2 linked regions of the Caenorhabditis elegans genome follow. The protein of the gene in region 1 purifies or fractionates together with the protein of each later gene. This does not show direct contact. Each region holds a gene or a part of one and is shown in the gene's direction. Other genes may lie near its edges.

Evidence for each region. Proteins that work in one complex are often made in the same cells at the same time.
Region 2: the proteins of gst-38 (region 1) and C32E8.9 fractionate together in Caenorhabditis elegans (co-fractionation; one large-scale study listed by BioGRID). This does not show direct contact.

Annotation. Positions count from the first base shown.
Region 1 is NC_003283.11:15,914,600-15,917,896, reverse strand, and holds gst-38 (glutathione transferase), read left to right. Parts: upstream 1-1,826; 5' UTR 1,827-1,960; coding exon 1,961-2,099; intron 2,100-2,156; coding exon 2,157-2,647; 3' UTR 2,648-2,735; downstream 2,736-3,297. Other genes in the region: F35E8.9 (ShKT domain-containing protein), read left to right, coding at 339-437, 491-752, 1,178-1,563; F35E8.7 (ShKT domain-containing protein), read right to left, coding at 2,755-3,269.
Region 2 is NC_003279.8:3,796,249-3,800,005, reverse strand, and holds the start of C32E8.9 (Ethylmalonyl-CoA decarboxylase), read left to right. Parts: upstream 1-1,937; 5' UTR 1,938-1,956; coding exon 1,957-1,971; intron 1,972-2,039; coding exon 2,040-2,210; intron 2,211-3,291; exon of another isoform or gene 3,292-3,321; coding exon of another isoform or gene 3,322-3,467; intron 3,468-3,521; coding exon of another isoform or gene 3,522-3,757. Other genes in the region: Phosphatidylinositol-binding clathrin assembly protein unc-11, read left to right, coding at 1-125, 653-801; C32E8.1 (RING-type domain-containing protein), read right to left, coding at 3,322-3,467, 3,522-3,757.

The DNA of each region.
Region 1 (3,297 bases):
TATTTATTTTCTTGCCTTTTTGAGAAAAAAATTGTCATGCATAACACAAATCGTTGGAGGGAAGTGAAATGGTGCATGATCCTGGCTTAGGAAGTTGCAGAATATCCAGGCCTCTGAAATTGTACCAGCTCTTTTTGAAATTTTGAAACAGATTTATGATCGGTTAATCTGTTCAAATAGGTTCAACAAAAATGGCTACATTGTATAAAAGGAATTTAATAGAAGCAGTTGTGCAAAGCTACCCGGATTACTATAAAATAAGAAGCCAAATCACAGAAGCTTTACTTTTCGGCTCTCGTCTTAGTCACTCGGAGAAGCTCAACTAAGCCTGTAGAACAATGATTGCTCTGGTTTCGTTCATTCTTGCATTCCTGGCTCCACAGGCTAGCGCTGTTATCGGAGGAGATCTTAACTGCACAACCTACAATGGAACTGCTGTAAGTTACGCTGATCTCTTACTTTAGTGTTAATTGTATTCCATGATTTTCAGTTTGTCTGGACTACAGCCGCCACTGCATGCAGCAATGTGATCTCCGATTCATCCTGCGCAGTTTTGTACCCAAACCCAGTTCCAGCTGATGGATACCCATCACCAGGCAGGGACCAGCAGAGACCATTGGCTTGTTATACTACTGCTACGGCTACTCCAGCTGCTGTAGTTCAAGACATGAAGACTGCAGCTCAGAGCACATGCCCAAGAACTTGCGGATTATGTTGTCAAACTAGTGCTTACAGTTGCCCAAATGTTGCCTGTGAGTTGAAAAGACATTCTAACAAATTGAGGTATTTTTCTGGCGCAAATATTCGCCTAGAAACATCAAGATTGGTGTGGAAATAGTTCAGTATGTCGTGGTGGCCGATAGCAGTCATAAAATCAGAAGTTCAAGTCCATTCTCCCCTTATAGGTTCACCCATGCTCAATTGAGATGTGGATCAATCTGGAATATCAGCCCAGTGAAAGCTCCAACAGCATGGCGCTCAAGGAACTGATATTCCTCTAAACCAGATCTGACCGCTCTAGTAAATAATGTTAAACAACTTCAAACGACAGTTGAGCCTAGATGCTACCCATTCTTTTGAACCTCTGTAGTGATTAAGTGTCATGTAATAGAAATTTGGCTTATAATGCTGAGGAGACATGAGCGGCCCATATTTTACTGTATCGCGTAATCTTCAGACCCCCGTCTCAACTGTGCCTCGATCACCGCCTCTCAATGCATCTCCCCAGCCTGGAGAACAATCATAGCCACGGACTGCCCATCTGCCTGCGGATTCTGCAACCAAGGAGGATGTGTGGATGCCGTTCCTGACTGCTCCAATGACATCACCATTTGCAATGCCATCGGCCTTCAGACTTTCGTGAACGCCAACTGTCAGAGAACTTGCAATAGATGTGCCTCGTCAACAACTACTCTTTCTTCATCTTCCTTGACCTGCTCCTCATACATCGCCGACTCGAGCACTGCATGCAGAGCCTGGTCTCTGAACGGATTCTGCACCAACACCTTCTACACCCTCGCGCAAAGAAGATCATACTGCGCCTCCACTTGCAGAATCTGCTAGTCTCATTCTCTTCAAGACATAACACAACGGGCTGACGACCATATCATCAACGACGATTTTTTAGGAACTGTACTTTATCTGTGTCTGACCAACACGTGTGAATGAAGTTTCAACTGGAAAATTTGTTTGAAACACTGCAAAGAATTTCGAATTTTGATGATAATTTTAAATGCCATTATCAGTTTTAATACGCCACTCTAGTCTTTGATTCTTTGCACACACACACACACACACACACACACACACACACTCACAAACACGCCTGAAATTTCGCAATATGCTGATTTAACGAGAAAACATTTGATGACAATAAACTTGGCGTATTAATATAAAAGGGAAAATTCAATTCAGATTCTCAACGGTTTATTTTCTGTCACAACTCTTCCTAATATTCACCATGGTTTCCTACAAGCTTACCTACTTCGATGGACGCGGAGCCGGAGAGCTCTGCCGTCAAATCTTTGCTGCCGCCGAGCAGAAATATGAAGATAACAGACTTACCGATGAGGAGTGGGAGAAGTTCAAAGCGGCCGGAAGTGAGTTTCCTTTTCTTCTTAATATTATGTGCAAAATATTAATTGTGTGGTTTCCAGAAACCCCATACAACCAGCTTCCAATGCTCGAGGTAGATGGCAAACCACTCGCTCAGTCCCACGCGATGGCTCGTTATCTTGCTCGGGAATTCGGGTTCAACGGAAAGAGCAGATGGGAAGAAGCTCAAGTCAACTCCTTGGCCGACCAGTACAAAGACTATTACGCGGAGGCTCGTCCATACCTCGCTGTGAAGCTTGGTTACACAGAAGGAGACGCGGAGGCTCTTTACACAAGCGTCTATCTTCCAGTTTTCAAGAAACACTATGGATTCTTTGTCAATGCTTTGAAGGCCAGCGGGTCAGGATTCTTGGTTGGAAATTCCTTGACTTTTATTGATTTGCTTGTTGCTCAGCATTCAGCTGATTTGCTGGGACGTGAAAAGTCGGATCTTTTCAATGATGTCCCAGAGATGAAGGCACATTCCGAAAAAGTTCAGTCAATTCCTCAGATCAAGAAATGGATTGAGACTCGTCCAGCGAGTGACTGGTAATTGTTTGGTCACTTAAATAAACTTTGTTATTTCCAATTTATTTTATTTGGGGAAAACTGATTGTGAGAATAAATTTTATTTAATAAAACTGTGCAACATGGAAAAAGTTAACAGATTTTGCAAGTAGTCGCACAGGCAGCTCTTTTTTCTGCCGTGGTGTATTGGTTGCTTGTACAGAATCCACTTCGAGCATACTCGCCGCATCTTGTTCGGCCGTCGGGAATGTAGGAAGTGCAGGCGGCTGCTGTGGTTGTGGCTGCTGCTGCTGCGACGGTAGTAGTGGTAACTGCAGCAGTAGTGGTCACGGCAGCGGGGGCCGCAGTAGTTGTAACAACAGCGGGAGCCACGGTAGTTGTAGGTGCCGCCGGAGCCGCGGTAGATGTTGTCGCAGTGGGACCCGACGTACATCTTTTACACGTCTTTCTGCAATTGGCATTGACAAAGTCTTGCAATTTGACTGCATTACAGATTTCTATGTTGTTGGCACATCCTTCAATTGCATCGACACATGAATCTGCACTGCACAATCCACACGTAGCTGGACATTCCATAGCTATAATTGCCTTCCATGCTGGATCAGTGCATTGGATAGGTTTGATTGTAGAACAATTGACACTTGGCACTGAAATATAGGAAGTAACGACTTCAAA
Region 2 (3,757 bases), on another chromosome or scaffold:
CACAACTTCTGCCGTCTCAAACAATCCGTTTGGAGCAACGTCGGCTCCTCAGCCAATGTATACGGCTCCAATGGGAATGTATCAACAACCATTTGGTGCTCAGCCAATGTGGAATCCTGCGATGGGTTAGTTTATCGAAAAAACGAGGAATTTTTTTAAAATTAGAATCTCGGAACAATTGAATTTTTATCTAATTTTTCACAATATTTCAAGATTATTTTAAATGTGAAAATCGATTTTGAAGCATTTTTTGTTAATTTTTGCTTCATTTTCGAAATATGCTCATACACCTATTTTATACTAAAATATAAAATTTAAACCTCTGGAAAAAATTCAGTTTTATTTAAAATCGAAAAATCGGTGGAACATTTCATATTCCAGCAATTTTTGGATAAGCGGAAAAATAATTTTGGACAAAAAATAGCAAAACATTTTTGGGTTGGATTTCGGGCCAAAAAACCAACAAAAAAAATTTATACTTAAATTTATTAAAAAACCGCGAGAAAGTGAGCAGTTTTTGGTTTATTTTTTGGTCTAAATAATACCAAACAAAAACAAAAAAGCCCCACGCCTAGAATAGGAATTCAACCATTTTGTGGGCGTGTCTGGCACTATATTTCGGTAGATTTTCAAAATCTTATTTTTTTTGCAGCAGCATACGGTCAACAATATGGATACGGACAACCTGTTCCACCACAACAGCAACACCAAATTCAATTGGTTCATGCAGCGATGGCTGCAAAGAACGCTGCACAAGCTCAACAGGCCCAGGCCGCCTCAGCCGATCCATTTGGATTATAGTCTAGTCGTCTATTTCTCTCTATCTCTCTCGTAACATTCCCTGATTTATTTTTTTTTAATGTAAAAACAAAATGATAGCCTATTTCTATTTCTTGATATCCCCCAAGATTCTCCAATTTTAGAATTTCCAGTAGATTGTGCAAAACTAATCAAATAGCGAAATCCAGGTGCCACTCCAATTTGAAATCACTTAGTATTCCTTTTTAACCTTTTTTTTTCAAAATTTTTGAATAGTCAAAGTATATTGCAATCAAATGTGTCGTTTTTTTGCATTGAAAAATTCGGAAAAATCGATTTTTTTTCTCGATTTTTCAATTACCCCAAAATACCGAAAAATCAGAATTTTTCGACGTCACCCTTGATTAGAATATATATTCCAGTAAATTGCCTTTTTCTTCGGTCGAATTGTCATAATTTTTCATGCTCTCTAGATACAATGTACCCCCCAAAATTCTTCAGATTCGGCCAAATTTTCGTCAGATCAGTGATGTTTTCCCCCTATCTCTATCTCTGCGTCTTCCAGTCTCTAGCGGCATTTTTTGTTTCATTCTTTCCACCCAAAAATTTATTTTGCAAAACGCACGCTTCTGTGTCCTATTTAATTATTTGAATTTTATATATTTATTTATTGACTCCCCCTCCCCCCCCCGGCTCTCCCATTTTAAGCGCTCGTGTTTCATAGCAATAAATTAAATTATTTTCCATCCTTCCTTTTTTTAGATTTTGAAATTTTGCAACTTTATCTCTATTGCCAAGAAGCGATGATAGATTGATTTTTCAATTGATGCAATAAATATTCGTAGATTCCTCGATTCACGTCATACTTTTTTGTTGTAAAATCTACCGCCAGACACGCCCACAAAATGGTTCATAGCCCCGCCTATTTTAGGGGCGGGGTCTTTGTTGTACGGTTTTTTGTACAAAAATTGTAGGAAAATGAAATTTTGCACCGGTTTTTTGGATTCTAAAACTGTCAAGAAAACTATTGAATTTCTTGTTTTTCCGCCAATACCTAATGAGACCCTGCGTTTGGTGGCGGGGCTTCGACTTGTGACTCAAAAATAGGGAAAATATATTCTTATTCTTCTCACTAACCGCTTATAACCTAAAAATAAAAAGATTTTTCTAATTTTTCAGGGCAACTGAGCGACAAAAATGTCTGGAAAAGTGGTATGTTCTTCGAAATTTGAATATTGCGTGATTCACGACTATGTGCCTTTAGAATTGAATTTTTTCAGGTTAGACCATCCGCAGCACTGCTGGAAGTCTTTAAATCATGGCAAGGCGGTGCGATTCGAGTTCAGCGAAACGAGAAGCTGAAAACAAGACTTGACGTAATTCTGGACCGCCCGGAAAAGAATAATTGTTTGTCTGGAGAAATGATGAAGCAGTTTGGAGAGCACACTGAGGCAAGTTTTTGAATTTGCGCGTGAAATTTGATGCATTAGAGGTAGAGACCGAGCAAAACAGTGTGCGCCTTTAAGAAGTGCAGCAACCGATTTCTCCAGCACTTTTTAATACTAAATGCTTGAGTATATTACTGGAACACAAAATTCCGAGAATGCGTATTGTACAACATATTTGACGCGCAAAATATCTCATAACGAAAACTACAGTAATTCTTCAAATGCACGTGGTGTCAGGCTGTCTCATAACTGTTTGATCTACAAGAAAAGTGGGAATTTTTTACCCCAAAAAATGTGACGTCAGCACGTTCTTAACCACTAGTTGAGAAGTCTGCATCTAAATTCTCGAAATTTTCGAGATCTACGTAGATCAAACCGAAATGGGACACTCTCACACCACGTGTAAATGACATGACTACTGTAGGGCTTGTGTCGATTTACGAGCTCTTTTTACAAAATGAATTTAAATTATTTATTTATCGATTGAATAATAAATTTGAGAAAAAACTAGCAAATATTACGAGGAAACAGATGAGAATGGAATATCGATGTCTTAAAGAAATTCATTTCGAAAATCAAGTCCGTAAATCGACACAATGGCAGCAGTAGTCATTTAAAGAATTACTGTAGTTTTCGCTAAGAGATATGTTGCGCAATGCGCATTCTCAGAATTTTGTGTTCCCGTAATAGAAAAAATTTGAAACAATATGGTAAATTATTATCACGGAATTCTGGCTTCCCTCATAAATCGAAATGGCAGAGTTTGCCGAACTAGGCCATTTTGGGTCGAAGAGATTTTATGTAGATTTACGGCGCGTTGCGTGTCGCGTCGCGGCTCGTTTTTAGTTGTAAAATTGATGTATTTGCCCGTGTGGAGTACACGGCACTTTTCCACACGTTGTCCGGCAGGCGATTGTCAATGGAGCGCGAAAATTCAATGATAAAGGCCAGAACCCCGTGATTACTGTACTAATTTAATTGTCACGCATGTTTTTACGCAGGCTGAACTTGAAATTATTGTGATACCGGTTACTGTAGTTTTGCGCGAAGACCTTAAGAATCTCAGAATCAGAATCAATCTACACAGTATTTTTCAAATCATTTATTCGAATTTCTACTGATTTATGAGAGAAAAATTCTTGGGCAGATTCTCGATCGTCTTGTTATTGAACTTGTACACTTTTCTATCGAATGGACAACGGATCATCTTGTTTTGGATAATATTTCCAGCGCATTCGGTGCAAATTGTGTGGCCACACGCTGAATATGATAAGAATAATATCATTATTTTATGAGTTGCATTGGCAGACTTACGCAGAACACGAGGCACGGTCATTCCAGAATCCCCATATTGTACTGCACAAATCTCACATTCAATCGGAAGAGTTTTGAGATCGGAAATCGCCTTTTTCAGGAAGTCCGTCACACGTTTTTCCTTCTCAAGAGCCTCCTTCGTTTCCACAAAACAATCCACCATATCATCCAGCTGCACCTTCAACTTTTCGTTCTCCGATTGCAGACGCTTCACTTTCTTCATCAACTGTTGCTCT